Linked DNA regions of Callithrix jacchus. The protein of the gene in region 1 interacts with the protein of each later gene in a pairwise test. Links are inferred from orthologs where the notes say so. Each region holds a gene or a part of one and is shown in the gene's direction. Other genes may lie near its edges. The genes, in order: MS4A12, PLLP and MALL.

The links.
Region 2: the proteins of MS4A12 (region 1) and PLLP interact in binary tests that used the Homo sapiens proteins (3 or more experiments, as listed by UniProt). The two-hybrid records come from large-scale screens. The link is inferred for Callithrix jacchus from reciprocal best matches to the Homo sapiens genes MS4A12 and PLLP.
Region 3: the proteins of MS4A12 (region 1) and MALL interact in binary tests that used the Homo sapiens proteins (3 or more experiments, as listed by UniProt). The two-hybrid records come from large-scale screens. The link is inferred for Callithrix jacchus from reciprocal best matches to the Homo sapiens genes MS4A12 and MALL.

The regions. Positions count from the first base shown.
Region 1 is NC_133511.1:117,601,487-117,605,700, forward strand, and holds the start of MS4A12 (membrane-spanning 4-domains subfamily A member 12), read left to right. Parts: upstream 1-1,309; 5' UTR 1,310-1,484; coding exon 1,485-1,757; intron 1,758-4,214. UniProt on the Homo sapiens protein: May be involved in signal transduction as a component of a multimeric receptor complex.
Region 2 is NC_133521.1:15,138,175-15,141,203, reverse strand, and holds the end of PLLP (plasmolipin), read left to right. Parts: intron 1-1,511; coding exon 1,512-1,628; 3' UTR 1,629-2,467; downstream 2,468-3,029. UniProt on the Homo sapiens protein: Main component of the myelin sheath that plays an important role in myelin membrane biogenesis and myelination. Plays an essential function in apical endocytosis. Regulates epithelial development through the regulation of apical endocytosis.
Region 3 is NC_133515.1:21,243,523-21,247,830, forward strand, and holds the start of MALL (MAL-like protein), read left to right. Parts: upstream 1-1,400; 5' UTR 1,401-1,427; coding exon 1,428-1,532; intron 1,533-4,308.

The DNA.
Region 1 (4,214 bases):
CTGGTTTATAAACCCCTCTTCTTTCATGGCATCAGAAGACAGAAGTTTTGTTGTTGGGTAGTTGCAGGAGCAGACTCAATACCCTGCCACCAAGGCTGGCCTGGAAAACAAGCTGCAAGTGTCCAGAGTGATGCTGTATGGATGACTGGGGGCGGGGGGAGAGATTCTGAGTCAACAGCCAAGAATCCCATCCTGGAGTCCTAACTCTGTCATACATTTTCTATGTAACTTTGAGCATGCCACTTAGCTTGATTCAGATTCAGTGTCTCATCTATAAATGAAGGGGAATGAGACAGGATAAATGGACAGAGTATTTCCTTCCCTAAAACTGCTGGTTTCTATGACCACAGGGCCTGAATATGTCCCTGTTAGATACCAGTGATGCATTATACCAATAGATTATTCATGGTATTCATACTTCATACCAAGAATGAGATGTTCATTACTCTAACTTTCTTGACATTCATTAAGTACAAGAAAATTGTTTGAGAAGATGTCAAGAAAAAAAAGAAATCTAAGGCTGAAGACAAAATATTTAAGTGTCATAATTTTTTTTCAAAGATTAATACTCATTATTGTCCATATCTAGTTGTCCTGGCTTATTGCCAACAAAATTTCCCTTGGCCACATGGGGCCTGAGATGCTGTAAACTTTCAGAAGGACAGAAATAAATAAAAAATAAATAAGAGTATTTTTCCTAACAAACAGGAGAATCAAATTAAGCGGGCACATATGAACTATCTAGTTTCCCAATTACTGACAAATAATGTTAACCTTGGACTGCCCTCCTTGCCATCCAAGTACTGTATTATTTGGCCTCTGTATTAATTTTCTATTTGTTGATATAACAAACTACCACAAACACAGTGGCTTAAAACAATACAATTTTTTTCTCTGACAGTTCTGTAGGTCAGAAGCCCAACACCAGCTCACTATGACCTGGAGACTCTAAGGCAGAATCTGTTTTCCTTGTTTCATCCAGCTTCTAGAGGCGACCCATATTCCTTGGCTCATGGATGCCTTCCTCCATCTTCACAGTCAGCAGCATACCATCTCTCTGATGAGAGATGGTTTCAGGATGAAACTGTTCCACATCAGATCATCAGGCATTAGATTTTCATAAGGAGCATGCAACCTGGATCCCCAGCATGTGCTCTTCACAGTAGGGTTCATGCTCCTGTGAGAATCCAGTGCCATGCTGATCTGACAGGAGGCAGGGCTCAGGCAGTCATGTTTGTCGGCTGCTGACTTTGCATGGCGTGGCCAGGTTTCCAACAGGTTATGGACAGGTACCAGTCCTTGGCCTAGGGGTTGGGGATTTTTGAGAACCATGTTTCTATCAGTTGTTATGGCCCATTATCTGCTCACTTGCTCTCTCCATTTGCATGGATAATTGACATTTGACATTTGGGAAGATTTTCTTTAGTTTCTTTTCTGGATAAATATATCATTTTGGTATATTTTGTGACACTTAGAATATAAGAATGTCATCCAAGCCAATAAGCCATGCTGGAGTACATAAAACCACACCCAACCCTTACCCACCAAGCAGCTTTCTGGCTCCTGGATCTCAACAGCCTCTGGGTTCAATCAACTCAGGAAACCAAGCCCAGGGTGCTCAGGATGCTCAGCCCCACTCTATCAGATTTCCAGAAACCTTTGCTGGCAGTCAACCGGGTCAAGGAAATTCACAAATGATAAATCCAAGTCTGGGAATGGCAGTAATAAACTTCAAAGAAGAAGCAAAGGCACTAGGGGTAAGTCTCTTTACTACCAGAATTTTAATTTCACATTTGCAAGCTCTTCTTATAAGTTATAGGAGAAAATATATTATCCAATTGTTAAACAGTTTTGAATGTTATTCTAAAACTATCTCTTTTGGATAGAAATATTTAGTCTGCCTATAGACTTTCCCTTGAGTTCATTTTATTTCAGATCAAGCACAAATCTAACAGGAGACAGAGGAGCCTCCTAGCTGGAGGATTTAGTAATATTGACATGATAGAAACACCACTGCATCTAGCTTGATTTCATTTCTTCAAAGGACTTTTTGGACAATCTCAATCCCATCTCTAGATTTGTTACAAGCCTGTTATTTGCCTGAAGGTGAATTTACATAAAAATGAACACTGATGGCTGCCCCTAAAAAAGGAAACTGCAAATGGGCAGTCTGGGAAAGGCTGAGTGTGAAAGAACTGGAAGATGTTCCACCTGCTGTGCCTTTCTCAACAATACTCTTAGAGATACTATGGCTTAACTGTCACCTTACTTCTACAAAGGAGACTCTGAACTGACTATGTTGCTTCTGTAGGCATCGTAAAAACAAAAATGCCCTATTTGTAAGAAAATTCCACCTGCCGAGGTAGAATTGTTAGTCCCTTTGCTGTGCTTTCCAAATAGCACAATTCCACCAAATTATATTAAGTCTCTCCCAGTGCATAGCTCCAACTTCTCTGCTGGAGCATTCTGTAAATACATGCTCATTATATGCTAAAAATTCTTCTAGCCATCTTACTACCTATTTCAAGTTTGGATGTTTTAGGGAAGTAAAAATGAGCATAAGTTCTCCTGCAGCAGCCTATTTACCAAGCTGTGGAGGTGGCCCTTCTGATCCTCCTCCTCCCAGATAGAGAAAATCTCCTGCTCCTAATAAGCCAGTGAGACGCACTAACACCCCTCCCCATACAGCCAGCTCCACACAGGTGCCTGGAATATCACTGAGCACAAAGCAGGTGCAATCTCTGCCCTTATGGCCTAGTGTGGGAAATCAGACTGTACACATAATAAAGAAGTAAAGTACATAGTGTTTTAGAAGGTGCCAAATGATACAGAGAAAATGAAGAAGTGTAAAAGGGCTAAGAAGTACCAGGCAGTGAGGAGGAAGCAATTTCAAAGTAGTGAGGACAGGCTTTCCTTAGAACATGACATTTGAGCCAAAACCTGAAGTTAGGAGTGAGCCCTGCAGATATCAGGGAAGGAGAAAACACCCAATGTAAAAGTCTTTAGATGAAAATGTGTGTGATGTATTTAAAGAACAGGGAGGAGGCTAATAAAATAGAACAGAATGAGCGAGGGAGGGAGCAGCTGTCAAGAGGGCAGAGGACTGGCAGAGGCCACACCCTGTGAGGCCTGCAGAGCAGAAGGCTTTGGCTTTGACTGAGTGAATGAGGAGCCACTGAAGCATGCTGCCTCGTACCAGAAATATTTTAAAGTACTTCAAAATACTTTAAAAGAATGCGAGGTTTTGCTTTCAAAAGCTCCAGTTGACAAAGCTACTTCCTCTCTCCGAAGATTGTAATTTCTATGCCATCAGCAGGCCCCAGGCATCATGACAGTGCCAGGGCCACAGGTAGCAGCACATGGCACATCCGTACCAGTCAACTCAGACCTTAAAGTGCTTCTGTGGCCCAAAATGCAAACAAATTGAATGTCCAAATGTTTAAGTCTGTCCCATAGGCAATGTTGATCTAGTAAATGGTACCACCAGGGCTGTGGGAGGAGAAATGAGGGCCAGTGCAAATTCAGATCTAACTGACCCTCATCAAGATGACAGCAAGGACAAGGATGGAAAGTTGTGGCCAGGTGGCTGAATTGCTGCTCTATAGAATTGACTATAAATTAAATACAACAGAATTAAATATAAAGTCTAAGGCAGGAGTTATTTAAGTGAGATTAGCTCAAGGAGACCCATCATCTTTCCAAAGCTATATGCAAAAGTATGGTACGTGTGTGTATGAATGTGCAAGAATAATTGTTAAGGGAGAAAGGTTCATATTTTTATCAAAGTCTCAAGAAACTTTTAGCATTGTTTATGAAACTGGGTTTTTTTCTCATTTTAATTTATTTGCATTCAGAAGCTATTTATTGAAGAAATAAATACAGCAGTCTTTGTATTTACAGTTTTCCTGGATAGATAAGATGTAAACATGGGGAAAAATAAGTTACACATCTGCAATCAACTTTTGGATCAACCTAGAAATGGTTTTTCCCCAGAAATCTATCCTTATTTACAATGAAGGGAGGTGCAATAAGAAGTTTAAAGAGCTGAAAGATGTATACCTCACTTTTAGTAATATATGGTCGGTAAGAAGAACGATTGGTAAGAAACTTACTGCATAACTGCACCTTATTAAAAAAGAACAATACAAATGAGTGTACGAAATCAAGTAATAACATTTGTTTTATGTCATGAGATGCAACAGAAATTTAGAAAA
Region 2 (3,029 bases), on another chromosome or scaffold:
CAGTGACGTGATCTCAGCTCACTGCAACTTCTGCCTCTTGGGTTCAAGTGATTCTCCTGCCTCAGCCTCCTGAGTAGCTGGGACTACAGGTGTGTGCTGCCATGCCAGCTAATCTTTTTGTATTTTGTTTTTTGTTTTGGAGAGGGGAGATGGAGTCTCGCTCTATCGCCCAGGCTGAAGAGCAGTGGTGCAACCTCGGCTCACTGCAACCTCCACCTCTTGGGTTCAAGCGATTCTCCTGCCCCAGCATCCCAAGTAGCTGGGATTACAGGTGCAGGCCACTATACCAAGCTAATTTTTGTATTTTTAGTAGAGATGGGGTTTCACCATGTTGGCCAAGCGGGTCTCGAACTCCTGACCTTAGGTGATCCATGTGCCTTGGCCTCCTGAAGTGCTGGGATTACAGGTGTGAGCTACCACACCTGGCCTGGGATAACTATAAAAACTTGTTGTGAATCAGTTGTGCCACACTGACTTAGGGTCATGTGCCACCTTGGAGAATGTGAAAAACTGCATGCTCTCCCTCTGACAAGTGCACATGCAAAAGCCTTTTGGTTTAAACCATTCTGGGAAATTCATAGGCTGTCCCATGAAACCCAAACTCTGGGCCCACGTTAGGTGGCCAGTGAAGTGGCTGCAGTCCCCTCCACACCTGTCACCCTTCACTCCACCAGGCCTTGCACACCGTCTCCTCCCAGGATCCTGTGACACCCCCAGTGAGGGAGAGGAAGGGATTACCAGTCCCTTTTGATAGACAGGAGGCTCCCACTCAAGAGAGGTTGGGCGCCAGGCCTGGAGCCACGGCCCAGCCTAGGGGAGGGCAGGGCCTCAACTAGCCCTCATTTGGGTTCCTTACTCTTCCTGACAAGGGCAGTTTTGAAATCAGCAAATTTGGTGATGGGGACAGAGTGGGGAGCTTCCGAATGTGGCTGCAGATTTGAGTATAGAGGCGTGAACTGGTTCTAGAAAATCCCTAGGGTGGCCTTTGAATGTTGTCTTTTTAGAACTAAATTCTTGTGAAACCCCGTCTCTACTAAAAACACAAAAATTAGCTGGGTGTGGTGGCGCATGCCTATAGTCCCAGCTACTCGGGAGCCTGAGACAGGAGAATCCCTTGAACCCAGGAGATGGAGGTTGCAGTGAGCCAAGATGATGCCACTGCACTCCAGCCTGGTGACAGAGTGAGACTCTGTCTCAAAAAAAAAAAAAAAAAAAAGAATTAAATCCTTGCTAGGTGTCCCCTCTGTCACTCTTACCTTCTCCTTCATTGCCCTCCTCACAATCTGAAGGCCTGCCTGTGGTCCTTAGCTATTCACCGTGCTTAGAAGGTAATGTTGGCATCCCTGGATGCTGGTGCTCATCAGCCCCACGATAAACAGCTGTGAAATGCGTCTGGCTAAGTGTGAGATGGTGCGGCTGCCACATCTCTTCCTGTCTGGGCCTGAGATCTGTTTGGGACTTGTGTCACTGTCACCCTCTTGCTCCTTAAGCCCTTCTCACCTCTCTTTCAGTTCTTTGCGAGTTTGGTGATGATTGCCTATGGAGTGAGCGCCTTCTTCAGCTACCAGGCCTGGCGAGGAGTAGGCAGCAATGCAGCTACCAGTCAGATGGCTGGTGGCCATGCCTAAACAACCTGTGCCATGGCCCCCTCTGGGGCTGAAGCCGCTGCTGGGTCACAGAGCAGGGTAACCTTGCAAGCCTGAAGCTGGGGAGCCCTGCACAGAGTCAGCCCCGCAGGGACTACACTTGCTCCTCTCTGCCCATCAGACAGAAGCTCTCACAGTGCTAAGGAAGCAGGCCCAGGTTGGCAGGCATCTGGGCTTGTGGGAGGCCAACCACGGAGACCTCCTTTCCATCCCCCTTATTCAGTGGAAGGTGACGGGGGAATCTGAGGCTGTGTCTCTGCCTTGTCTTTGGAGGACTTCAGCGTCCCAGGCTGGGGCCCACCCTTCTCACCAGCCCTAAATGCACTAACAAGGACTCTAGACCTGTAGCCCCAGACCTGCTGTAGTGTAAGCCTAACAGGCAACATGTAGCACCTTAGTCTTTGTTCCGGGAGAGCTGAGCAAGCTCATGAAACCATTCTCCTTCCTTTAAATGCAGTTCCGACCCACCGCTCCCTGGAGCCAACCTGTACAAAGTGGGTTATGATTGTTGACAGCATGGTCTTCCCTCCCTGCATTTCAGACACACCAGTTATTGAAAGCAAATCAGTTTTCAGTGACATCTCAATGCTGAGAAGCCTGGCCAGGTTTTCTTCCCTTTCCCAAGCCTCTCTCTTTAATACTCCCTTTGGGTGAAGCTAACATCAGTGCCAACTGCCTCCCTGACCCTGCCTCCCTGACCCCAGGCACACGGGACGTGAAGGAGGGAGGGAAGCAAGGCCTTGCCTGGCGAATTGTCATGTGGTTGGTGGTGACTTTGTTTTTTTGTTTTGTTTTTATAAAAATAAATATGAGAGAAATTACTTGGACCAGATGTTGGGGAATCATTTTGCAGGTGCTTATAACCTCCAGGAGGCCTGAGCTTGACTGTGTAAGATGCCTGCCGTAGGGCAGTTCACGATCTGGAGTCCTTCAGCACCACCTGCCAACTCTTTGCCCGGAGGGAGGCTACCTACACTTCCTGCTTGCTGTATCTGGAGCAGTCCTGGTTTATGCTGTTTGTGCTTGCATAAGTAGAATAGCATGGCCTTTTATTCTCACAAGTGTCTCAGTTTGGCAATAACTTAGCCACCCTTGCTTTGGGCAGGTTAGGTGATCTTACTGAATGAAAGATTTCAACAGTATCACCTACCTCGAAAGTCTGTGAGTCTCAGAGGTCATATATCAAGGTGGCCGGCCATGCTGCATGTGCAGAGCTGGTAGAGACAGCAGAGGAAAGCAGCTGAGTACTCCCGAGCTTATTTTTCCAACACCACAGAGCAGCCTTCTCTGAACAATGAGGTAAAAGCGTTTCTAGACACCCTCTAGTCCCTTTTTGTTATTTTTTTTTGGAGATAGAGTCTTGCTCTGGTGCCCAGGCTGGAG
Region 3 (4,308 bases), on another chromosome or scaffold:
AAATGAAGAAACTCCCGCTTTGCTTGGATTCATCCTGTAAACAAGGTGGTGTAGGTGAGATTAGGGTTGGCAGGTGGGATTACGGTCTCCCTTCCTTCCTAGTTTCCATAGCCTGGGAAAAGGGCTGATCCGCCTGGTTTGAGATCCACTGCAATGCCTTTGCTTTAGGCTTCATTTGTCCAAACTCCTCTCTCCCTTAGCCCTCCCCAGACCAGGCAAAGGCCTAGTTGGCTGGTTTCCCCACCTGTGGCCCTGAGGGCAGGACCTGAAATTCACCATTTCTGCTAATGAAGTCAGGACGTGGAGTCTTCTAATTACTGCAGCCCTCACACAACCTTCCCCACATCCTCTCCACACTAGAGAGCAGCGAGGGGCAGGAAGAAGGGACCCAACCCCAGGCATCCTGAGTAGACTCTGGGACACCAGGCCTTTCAGGGTGGGTCAGGAAAATGAAGGTTCGCCAACTCAAAGGTGGTGGGGAAAATGGTTCGGCCTTTGGAACTTGTATTTGGTGTGAAATGAGTTCCTTGCCTCTGGGTCACGCCCTGCAGCCAGTTCCCCTACTTGCCTAGGAGTCAGGAAGAAACTTCTTGGTCCCAAGCCCAGTTAGGGGTGAGGCACTAGCTGGGAGGAAGGCCAGGGAGGGAAGGAGGGTGGGTGACCACTAGGGGTAGCAGCCAGCCAGCCCAGCCCATCTGGGGTGCCTGCTGGTGTGGTCCTCTCCCAGAGAGGGGGGCCTTCCTCCATCTGCCCCTTGAGGAAAAGAGGAGTGGAGGGCCATGAACAGGGATCCAGAGAAAGGAAACACCAAGTCCCAGCGGCATGTGCTGGAAGGGAGGGCTGCTCCTCCCAGGGGAGGTTAAGGACTGAGAGCTGCCCCCAAGAGTGGAAAAGGAGGGAGCTGGGCAAAACCCAGCATTGTTAGTGAGCAGTTCTGTGACCTTGACCTGACCTCACTGATTCTCAGTGTCCTCACTTATAAAAGGGCCAAACAGCCACGCGCAGGCGTGGTGGGCAGCCGGGCTGTCTGAAGATCGCTTGGCTCGAAGCTGGCCCTCATTACACAGCCCTCATCTCCAAGCAGCCTGAGCCTGCACTCTGGGCCCAGGGGAGTGGCTGTCGCTGGCATCCCCTGGAATAACACGCTCCAGGAGTCAAAGATTCCTTAGTTGGAAAGGTCAAGAAAGACTCCCACTGCTTGCCTTCTGCACCAGCGCTGTGCCCCAGCCTGCCAGGCAGAGCCCTCTGATGCCGCAGCGCGCGGCTCACTGAGGATCTGTTGGCTGCAGCGAGTGGAAGGACCTGCTCAACTGGAACTTTTTTTTCCCCTTCCTGGCGACGTCCGATGGGTGTGTCCGGCAGGAGGTGATATTTGACGGGTTGCGCGCGGGCGAGCTGCCGCAGAGTGCCCAGCAGGGGCTGACAGCATGGCCTCCCGCGACCCGCCCGTCACCAGCTACGCCCCGCCCGACGTGCCGTCGGGGGTCGCGCTGCTCCTCACCATCCCCTTCGCCTTTTTCCTGCCCGAGCTGGTGAGTGCGGCCCGCCGGCCACCTGCAGAGAGGGAGGGGCTGTGAAACCTGCCTAGGCCCCAGACCCGACCTCGGTCAGCTCCCTAGAGAAGGGGGACCCAGGGCAGAGGCTGCGGTGGCTGAGGGTCTCCCATGGACGCACAGCAGGATGCAGCTGTACTCAAGCAGCAGATCCCACTCTGTGCTCCCTCTTTGGCCACCAGGGGTTCCTTCCTCCAAAACAAAACCCACCTGGGTGTGGAGGCCTGGGGAAACGTTGCTAAAACGTCCAGGATTCCCAGGAAGAAGTTGGAAATTAATTTTAATAACGTGGAGTCCCTTTCTCCAACTATGTGTGCGTTTTTGGTTTGCAGTGGGAGACTGTTTCCCTCTAAGAGCAGGCCTTCAAGTGTTTTATTGTCATGTCCGCTGACTTTGAACTTTGACTTTGTGGGTCCCCACACAGGGTAGCTATGGCAACATCTGACATGAAACAGTCTGTGAGGCACCCTGGTTGCAAATGAGAACCTGTCACTGTGTTACTCCCTGGGGTGCCCCACAGCTGAGTTGTGTCCCTGATCCCTGGGGAGCCTGGCTGCTCCCATCTGCAGAGCTGTGCGGATGCAGTGTTCTGCACTGCACAAGTCCCCTCTGAACCGGTTGGTACCACACCCTCTTCATGGAGGAGCACTCTCAAGTCTGGGGTCCAGTCAGGACAAAGGAGTGTGTTTTGTTTTTCCAGCACCTTCTGAAATATCTAGCTTGTAGGTGATATTTTCTTACCTGCCCTGACATGCTGTCCCTGACGTGCTGTCCCTGAGCAGGGAGGAAAAGATAGAAAGTGGATTTACTTTTAAATTGGACGGGAGGTGACTAGTCCTTCTCATTCTTGTCATCTGCCTGGAAAGTGGGACCTGATGGAGCCACTTTTAGGCAAACTGGCTAAAGCATGGCCATTGATGGCAACCAGAGAGAACCAGGCAGGGTGGGCCTAGCATCTGGGTGGCTCGGGCTGAAAGCCCACCGAAGAGGCAGGTTTCTGCCAGGGTTGCCACCCCTGGCAGAGCCAGACAGTGGGCATCCTGCCAGACTGATGACATTACTGTGCTCTGATGAGTCCTATGTGCCAGGCCCTAGGTGTGCCCCTCACGTTGGAGCAGCTGCAAGGGCAACTGGGTTACTGGTTGACTCCACCTCTTTTTATTGAGCCTGTGGTTTATGTCAGTCCTGCAGGCCCCCAGTGACAGGGCACTGACTCCTGGTGGTCTCCTGTCTGCCAGGGAGTCGTGAGTGTCTCCTCCCCACAGTTGAACAGTGGCCCCAGCAAGGAGGGATCTGAACCCTCCAGGCCAGGGAGGGGTCCAGGCCTGCCACCAAGAGTTGGACCTCAAAGAACAGGTATTTCTAGGCTGGGGGGAAGAGAGGGAAAGGCCTAGAGGCCAAGGGAGAATTCCTGGCAGGAGGCTAGAGGCATGGAGTGTCTGGAATCAGGAAAACGCCCAGGATGAGAACTGTGAGAGGTCATGGTGGCCCCACCTGCCCTGCTCCTGCCAGTGCAACTCCTGGAAGAGCAAAGCATACACTCTTGTTGGACTCTGGGGACTTACATGCTGTGGGAGATGAAGGGCTCAGTGACAATCAAAATTGACATTGGCCCAATTTTCTTCATTTATTTGTACTGTTAAGTAACGTTAGATTTACAGTCAGGCTGCAATGATAGTACAGAAAGTTCTGTGTACTCTTCCCTCAGTTGCCCCTAATGCCCACATCTTCCACCATACAGCTATTGAAATCAGGAAACTAACACTGATACTGTGCTATAGAGTACTCTATAAACCTTACTCAAATTTTGCTGATTTCCCCACTAATGTCCTTTTACTGGTTCAGGATCCTGGCCAGGATCCCACATTGTACTTAGTTGTCGTATCTCTTTCATCTCCTTTAATCTGGGACAATCTGGGTCTTTCTCTTGACACTTCTGAAGAGTACTGATCAGTTTTTTTGTTGTTGTTTTGCTTTTCAAAAATGTATTTTTCCATAAGCTATTGGGGTACAGGTAGAATCTGGTTACATGAGTAAATTCTTCAGTGGTGAAAAACTTACAGTTCTTCCAGCAGGCCCCGCTTGCTGAGCTCCTCATCCACCATGTCCATCACGTGCTTGGGGACCACAAGCTCCTTCAGCCGCTTTTTTTTTTTTGGCCATAAAAATACTTCATTAGGCCAAACTACACACTATAAAAATGCTTTAAAATGTAGCAGGAGGAGATGTAGTTCCCCCGCTCCCTGGGAAAGCGTTTTGCATCAGCTTCCTTTTAGAGGCGATGATAGAATCTTTGGTGACAATTTTATTGAGGAAAGAAAACAAGGGCTGGAGCAGTTTATAAACAAGGTTCCTGGTCATCCTCTGGCACAGAATGAACATTGTCTTCACATGTTTTTACAAGACGAAATAATAGATAAAAGCTATACTCCATCTAAAATAAGACATGCCTGAAATTTGGCAAGAAGGGGCAAAAACGTGACTATTAGTGATTGATATGCACCAGTGAAGAAGTTCTAACTTTTAGCATGCTGCTCAGAAACTGGTATGACATGCCTTCAGTATACTAACACTCATGCTCGGTTTTGTTTTGGCAGTTGACAAGAGGTTAATTTGCTTTAGTGAAAAATCCCTCATTCCAGCCTTTCTATATGAATAGCTTTCTTGCTGTTTTAATGTGGTGCACACTATAGCCTCACAAACCTGTTATTCCAATGTGATCTGCAGTGTCCTAACTAAAGTTGCTGGCTTGGTC